2 linked regions of the Coturnix japonica genome follow. The protein of the gene in region 1 purifies or fractionates together with the protein of each later gene. This does not show direct contact. Links are inferred from orthologs where the notes say so. Each region holds a gene or a part of one and is shown on either strand. Other genes may lie near its edges. The genes, in order: LIMK2 and TTC1.

Region 1 (4,436 bases):
ATTTGTTGAACCTTACAAGGTTCACATGAGCCCACTGCTCAACCTGCCTACATCTCTCTGGATCCCATCCCTCAGGTGTGTAAATGTGCAACATCCCTATAAAAAGAGGGAATTGTTTTAATGCTGTCTTTATCTGTGGGGAGGGAGAATCAACAAAACAACGGACATCAAAACAGCATATAAGGCAGCACCTTCTGTTTTGTAATATGGACAAAATGGACTGAAAGCTAAAAGAACAGCATGGTATAGGTAGTAAGAGACAAACACATTCTTCTTCCAATAATTCCCTCTGGTAAAAGCGATCCAAATCTAGGAAAAAGGCAGCATGCCACCTCTGTATTTCCTTTGCTAAGTCTGTGCAATATATGCTCCAAATCCAGGGAAGCCACTTATCAGTTAAAAAAAAAAAAAGACCATTGAAATGGATCCTAACTCAACAGATCTCAGAGGCAAAAAAAAGCACATTCAGAGTTAATTCACAACAGAGATTATGTCAGAAACATCTAAAAGAAGACTCCACAGCCAGCTCTAACCCAACAGATTCAAGCCTAAGGATCAGCTAGCCAAAGAACAGTGTAAAATATCCAAGATATATGAATAGGGATTTGCTTTTCCCTCCAAGTCACATCAGAGAAAACATGGGTTTCAGGGTCAAAGCTCCTGTACATGCAGCTTGAGGAAGGAGGGAAGTGACAAAAAACTTAAATCCTCAGAGACATGCACGTACGTCAGCTACCACCAGTGCCAAGCATGATCAGCAGCCTCGCCTGACCAAGCTAACAAGCTTAACAGAGCTAACAAGACTGGATCAATGCCAATCAGCATTAGAGAAATCATGTGCCAGGCCAGAGACGCAGCTAATCCACAGGAAGACTGTAAAAAACACTCCACAAGAGCTGCCGGAACTCACAGCTACAGGCTGCCAAAGGCTCCTACCATTAGAGGCTTTTTAAAACTTGGCTTTGGGATATCGAGCACAAGACTGCTGCCCAGCATGGTTTGGGGATAACAGAAAAGAAAGGAGAGCAGAGCGCAAACTCTGTTTGCATGAGCAATGCTAGCCTGGAACGGGGAAAAAGGGAAGGGCAGCTTCCTTTGCTGCAGGTTCCAATTGTTCACTCAGCACGGCCTCGAAGCTGGGCAGCAGAGCTAGCCAAAAGTAATGAGCATAAGAGAAGAGCATCAGCAAGTTACTGTACATCTGAGGAGAAAAGCCATTACCTGCCTTTCTATTGCAGGTAAATAGGAAAACCTAAAGGAAGAAAAAAACAAAAGACTTCTGTTCTACAATATAAACTACAGCATAAAATTCTCTGGTGCCACTAAGGGTGGTTTGCCTGCAGCTCAGCTGTCATTCACCTCTACAAGAAGCACCCAGGCATTTACAAATCAGGACTCGCATCAGAAATAGTACAAGAGGAGGCATAGAAGAAAGACTTGCACACACAAATTAGAGTTTGGCTAACTGGGAGAATGTTGAGAAGCTCCACAGCAGGACTCCAGCTTGGAAGAGAGAAGAGAAAAACAGGGCTTAGAGAAACTGACACAACACAGCTGAACATGAACACTCGGACCAACAGAAAGCAGAAAGAGTCGGATTTGCAGCAACATGGAGCAGTAGCTGTGATTAACAAGGCATTCTAACAAACAACGCTTTCCAAATCAATAGAGCTAACATTGCTTTGGCAGCCTGCTATGCTTTGCTTTACATATATATATATATATATATATATATATATATATATATATATATATATATATATATACACCAAGAAGCATAATAATTCAACAAAGTCTTTTTGTAGTAATAAATTAAACACAATGGGACAGATGCCTGTCTCAGCACAGCAAACATTCCTCCAAAGCCGCACTTTGCCTTCTTTTACCCTCTATTTGCTTTAACAGGGTCCAACACATTAACCTCTGCACATTCATGACATAGTCACTCGTACCCAGAAGCCAGCAGAAGCTCCTGCTCCTTTCAGAAATGCAATTCTGGAGCACGAAAACTAGAATGAGTATTTGTGAAAAAGGCAAGAGCCCCCTCTGCCAGATCAGCAGCTTTCCCAACACCCTGATATTGCTCCTGCAATATATATGGAAACAGCGACAGGAGCTCAGGTGGCCTGGGTTGTACCTCTGAATGCTAGTGCAGACAAAGACACAACCTGCGGCTTCTGCTACCACCAGCAAATCAGAGCCTCCATTTATACTTTATCTGTATTCCCATACGTGTGTGTGTCAGCTCCTGGCCAGGCAGCACCAGACTGCTGCCAGAACTGAAGGTCAGTTCCAAAGGGCTGCTGTGGGTATTGAAGCACGGCAATGACCGGCAGCACACTGCCTCTGCCACGGGCTGCAGAGCAGGTCAGACATAGAGCTGACAGCAGGGTATGGCCTCAAGACCAGCCCCTGTTACTGTCAGTACTGCATCCACCATCCTCCAAGAGTACAATTGGCTGTAAAGTTGCACCTACTGGAAACAGGAAACGTGCCAAGCTTCATTAACTGTCCTGTAGAGGCGCTGACCAGCAGCAATGAGGTCCCCACATCCCAGGCATCTCCAGACTTCTTCACCTGTATACAGGAATAAGGCCACATCAACAACCGTTTTACATCAAAGAAAACAAGGATTGCTCCATGCCTGATAAAGAACAGCCCTGAATTACACCAGGCAGACCATAAGCGCCAATGTTTAGAGTTCCCAAATTGGACTCTAATATCCTAAACCCCTGTTTTTTTCCCTCCAGACCTGACACCATCATGTGCTCCTTCACATTCTGCAGGAGAAAACAAGGTTACCTTTCACAGGAGATGGCACCGTTAGAGCTGCACCACTGCTCAGAGCAGAGATTTCAGGTGGAGATGGGCCAAGTGTGACAATCCCTACAGGGAGCCACGCTGTGCCAGGAAGCCACGTTACCATTCCCCTCCTGCCACTGACTCAGCACATAACATTTGTGCACTTTTGGGTGATTAAATGGATTTCCCAGAACAGGAAGAAAGACAAACCTTATTCAGCAGAGAACAACTTGGCCACCAGGAAGGAATTACACACTCAGAAGGATATTCCTGCAGAGTCTGTATGACCAGCACTGCACTGCAGCCAGGCTTAGCAAGAGGAGCAGCTGCCACTGCCTGCTGTGCCTTCAGAAAATGCCAGCAATGGTCAAGAAGTCCTAAAGCCCCAGAAACGGGCAGGATGCATAAAGACTGGGAAAGAAAAAAACAGTACAAAGAATCTAGCACTAATTTGGCACAGAGAAATGCTATCTGAGAGCCAAGCTGCTGTTTGGGCACATCTAAGAGAAAGCCGAGGATGTGGATGAGCGCAGGATGGCACAAAGGACATGTCGTGCTGCTGGGCACTGATCTGCTTCCTTCTGCTACTGCAAGCTGGCTGCAAGAGAGATGTGTAAGGAAAGAAACGCGCTTAGAGAAGGAAAACCACTAACCACAGACTTACAGTTTCTAAAGAGCGTTAAAACCCAGCAGTTGCTCAGTAATTGCCCCTTCTGTCTGAGGCTTTTCTCTGCAGCTTCACCCTGAAATGTCAGGTAGCTCTTACATGGACCAAATAACTGCTCCCACCGAAGGGAGCTGCCCTCACTGCCCTGCCATCACTGCGCTACAGCAGCTGCCTGCTGCCGGGGGGGGAAGCTGCAGAGGATGGAGAGCTCAGCGCTACGAGGGACGCCTGTCCGTGAGCACGATGCTGCCCTCACCCACAGCCTGTAAGTGCGATGCTTTAAGTTCAGAGCGTGCTGCTGCCTGCGGGGATCAGGCACAGCCACGGGGCTCCGCGCTCAGCGGGACAGGGCAGCGCTCAGTGACTGCGAGCAGCGGGCAGAGACCGGCGCACGGAGCGGCTCAAGGACGCGGAGGGCCCAGAATCCCGCAGCGCCGCAGCCGGTATCTCGGGGCCCGACCCCGCAGCTCCGCCCGGCAGTCAGGGCAGGAAGCGGCGCGTTCCGCCGCAGGCCCCGAGCGATGCGCAGCGCCCAGCACACCCGGTACACCCAATACATCCAGCAGCGCCCCGCCCGCCCCGCGTCTCTCACCTGCCGGCCCCGCCATGGCCGCTGTCCCGTGACGTCACGGCCGCGCCGCACCTGGGCCGCGTTCCCGCCGCCGTCCCGCCGTCCCGCCAGCAGCCGCTCGGCGCCGCGCCACGCCCCGGGGGAGGCCCCGCCCCCTTCCTCGCCGCAGGCCAATCGGCGCTCCGCCTCCCTCACGGATACGAGCCAATCGCCGTGCTCCGTCGGAGGGAGCGAGCCCGCCCTTTCCGCGGTGGGAGCCAATCGCGGCGCGGCCACGCCCTCAGCCCCACTCTCCACACGCGGCGGGAGCGCGGAGTCCGCCGGTCCCGACCCGCACCCTGCCCAGCAGCTCCTCGGCCCGGTGCATCACCGTCCGCCGAGCACAAAGAAACGGCA
Region 2 (3,811 bases), on another chromosome or scaffold:
CCTTCAAAAGAAAATAAATATCTATTAAAAAAATAAAAGTAAACAAAGAGTATCCTGAGGATAATTTACTGATGTTGAGATAAGCAAGAAAAAAAAACCACCTCAAGTGCATCAAATTACTGTCATGTATGTATGTTATTTGTGGGTAGATATAAGAATTTCAAACAACACTGCCACCATGGAAAGGATTCAGACAAGGCAAAAACTTCACATTCAACCCAACAGAAATACTAAGCCTTTATTACCAAGAAAATATATTCCACAGAGGAGGTCGGCTTGCTTCTATGCATGCTGCCAGTCACATCCACCTCCTGAACGAGGAGATGTGCTTCTGCTAGATTTGTTAATTTCCCCAAGACACCATTTGGCTTTTTTCTTGGCCACAGGTGCACGGGCATTTTCATTCAACTGAACTGCTTGCTAGAATTTTCTTGCCAGTATTGAATGGGCCAAAATAATGTACCTGACTGGTGGACAAGCCAAATACTGCAAGTGAAGAATCACACACAGGACATAGTTATCACTAAAAGAAGTCAACCGACTTTCTTTACATCCACATTGTAAATAATTTATAAGCAGGGAAATGAATTTGCTTGAGTCTATCTTCACTTGGATAGAGTGAAGAATGTCTGATGAATCCTTGTATTGGAGCGTGCAAGCACATGGTCACGATGCCTGAAAGCCAGCAGAACTAAGCTGAATATTCACGTTATCTATTGTTATTTGGATTTTGAACAAAATTGATGGAATATGAGCCAGTTGATGAATCCTGTTTTATCTGGAAATTTTCTGTTGACAGGCCAAAGGGGCGGAGAACCAAATTCCCAAGATCTTTCAGTTTGCCTACAATGAAAAAGAAATACGTGAGTAGTAAGCAGAGGGAAAACTCCCACTGAATGATGCCCAACTACACACTCCAGCTCCACTAATTTATCTACTAATTCAAGGTAAATGCTGCAGAAATCTCTCCAGTCAGTTGGATATTTAGGCTCCTGTATGAACAAAAAAAGTTCCAGTTGTGCTGTAGTCAATGTCAGCTCTGGAGCTGAAAGCAGATCAGTTCAGATTCTGCCAGGTCTGTCAGGCAGCCCTGACACAGTGGCTGCAGACACCATCTGTCTCTGGCTACCTTGTAGTTCTTTATTTCCTCTGTCATAATTGCTCCTTACAGGACCTTAGCAGCACACAAAAAAATTAGCCTTGGATATAATTTGATACCTGCCAACACTCTGTTTTTTAACATAAATTTTTCAGTTCCTGCCACTTTGGTGCAGTTACAGTTCTGTGAACATTCAGTGATATTAGAACTGCCCACCTTCCTAGTCTGCCAACAGAAACAGAGAAAGCCAAAGTTCAAACCTGGCTCACTCGTAATTATTACAGATCTCTTTCTAGATTACGTATATTGATACAACAAACATTAAAACAAATCCATCAATGTACCTGCACCTTCTAACTAAGCAGTTCCATTTGAAGCATATAACTTTGTTACCATTCTCAGCATGACAGATGACATCCTGGCATCAGGAACCCATGTTCAAAACTACAGTTCTCTGCAGCTAACTCATCCCTGCTAGGAATTCTAAGCAACCGTTATTTAACGAGCATGATTAAATATACATAAGGTACAACAGTTAAAATCCAAAGGCTACTATTAATATATACACCACACAAGCTGTCTGACTCTACTAAACAATAGTTCCTACCACCTATAAAAGGAGAAGGACAACAAAAGGACATCCTTCAAAAAAAATCATATCTAAACAGAGATCATAGAATAGGTAAAATGCATAAAATTAAACAAGAGGCAAAAGTAACACCTTCAGTGCAGGCTGAAGACAAGCAGCTGATCTCTTGGCATGACAAGGCAGAAGGGATGGCTGCTTCTCCAAGAAAAATGTTACGTTCCTCCTGGCTGTTCCTAACCCACATGTGTGCACTTTCTTAAAGCAATCTTAGACACAAGCAGTGCACATGTTATTCTAGATGTCATCTCTACCTTTGCTTCTATTTCTACAGTAAGTATTAGGATACAACAGCAAAGTCATAAGAACCGTTACCATTCCATTCCTATGCTTCTGCTAGGTTCTTTTGCTTAAGGTGGCACCCAGGACAAGTTCTCCTCAGAAGTGCAGTAATTATTACTGCTATTAGCTAAGTTTTATCGCTGCACTGCAGCAAACAATCTGGACTGAGTTAGAGCTTTCTTGCTAAGCCAGACTGAAGTAGTAACTTCACAGCAGTGACAAAATACATCAAGGTAAGGAGTGAAGTTCCATGCAAGTCCTTTGCAAAAAGACATGAATGGTATTTATGGTACACAGAGTACAAACAGATCAAGTCATCTGCCTTGCACCATGCTGCAACCCTGTGACTGTACTCAAAACAGAAACAGTATCAAAGTCTGAACTTATTCAATAGATATAAGAGACAAGGGGCAGACTATCTGGCAACTGTTGAAGCCGGGTTAAATGCTGCCCCAGTAATTCAAAATAGACTAATTCCAATCACGTTTGCAAAACCAAATTAGAGCAGGGAACCTTTTAGAAAACATTCATAGAAAATACAAAAAGAAATGATAGTAAAAAAACGCCAGCATTTCAGTCTGAGGAACAGCTCAATCCTGCGTAGGGAAACTAACAGTTATCGTTACTACAGTACTTCTAAATATTAGCCAGTGTAAGTAAAGATCTTGCATCAAAGTGCAGGTTCACAACTGGGTATCTTTCAGATATCTGTGCAATTATGTTTAGTGGCCTCTGAGAGTCAAAATGGAAATTCTGAGGTCTTCTGTGTGAAAAAAGGCAACCCTTGTCTACAAAAGCAGCTCGTTAGTTGGATGGGATTTTGCTTTTTGTTTTTATTAATATTATTTTCCTGTTTGGATGAACAGACGAGGTAATTGAGTGATCTGGTCAAGGTTACTCCATTGGGTGGCTCACTTAGGGTTAGCTTCCTTCTACAGATTTATTTTTTTAAGCCACACTGTTCAGTGTAAATAAAGTACTAAGTCGAGTTCATAATTTTACACTTCATCCTAAAAGCACTCTGGGTATAAAACGACAAAGATATTCATAGTGTCTCTAGGATGGGGATGAATAGTTTCTATTGTGCTTTCAGACAAACAATCAGTCATTGCTTAGCTTCACTTTTTTTTTGGGTGAGAAGTGTCTTTGTCTGGTGGTGGAAGAATCCTGGCATATTCTGGCATTCCTACAGCCAGTTGTAAACAGTTTACAAGTTATCCGAGCACTGCAGCTGGCTCAGGAGCAGGCAGACGAGTTTGCCTGTTTCAGGAAACACTGAAAGGCCTTTTCTAGTGGCAGTTAGTGTGATGGCTCTTTTCCGTTCATACTAGAGCATATACACGGACTAACTGCCTTGGCAATTCTTACTTGTAGTTACGCCAGTTCTCTGGGAGAAGCTAAGGCTCTAAGCTCACCCAAGCTGTGACTATACATTAAGCAACATGATTACAGCTCACCATTCTTTTCTGCCACTGAAGTCTACATACAGCACTGCCTCTTGGTGCAGCCACGTTAATTAAAATGTTAATAAAGCAGAAGAAAGCCTTGCCTTTTCCAGGAACTCAAGCCCAAAGCATTGTTCCCGCTGTTTGCAGTGCATAAACCCATCATTGCAGGAAAGCACTGTTTCTTCCTCCCCCATTCTCCTTTCATCCCTAAATTAAGATCAGTAGTTAAGCCCAACCTTTCCCTTCCCCCAAAGAAAAACCTCTTAAAAAAAGAGACTGTGCTGGAAGGAAGCAAAACGCATGTGGAGCTGTGACTCAGCTGCAAGGAGTTCTCAG

The links.
Region 2: the proteins of LIMK2 (region 1) and TTC1 purify together in Homo sapiens (affinity purification with mass spectrometry; 3 studies listed by BioGRID and IntAct, counting the BioPlex papers as one, with this or other methods). This does not show direct contact. The link is inferred for Coturnix japonica from reciprocal best matches to the Homo sapiens genes LIMK2 and TTC1.

Annotation. Positions count from the first base shown.
Region 1 is NC_029530.1:8,042,283-8,046,718, forward strand, and holds the start of LIMK2 (LIM domain kinase 2), read right to left. Parts: upstream 2,949-4,436; 5' UTR 2,927-2,948; coding exon 2,803-2,926; intron 2,578-2,802; coding exon 2,478-2,577; intron 1-2,477. UniProt on the Homo sapiens protein: Serine/threonine-protein kinase that plays an essential role in the regulation of actin filament dynamics. Acts downstream of several Rho family GTPase signal transduction pathways.
Region 2 is NC_029528.1:10,003,921-10,007,731, forward strand, and holds part of TTC1 (tetratricopeptide repeat protein 1), read right to left. Parts: intron 844-3,811; coding exon 710-843; 3' UTR 1-709.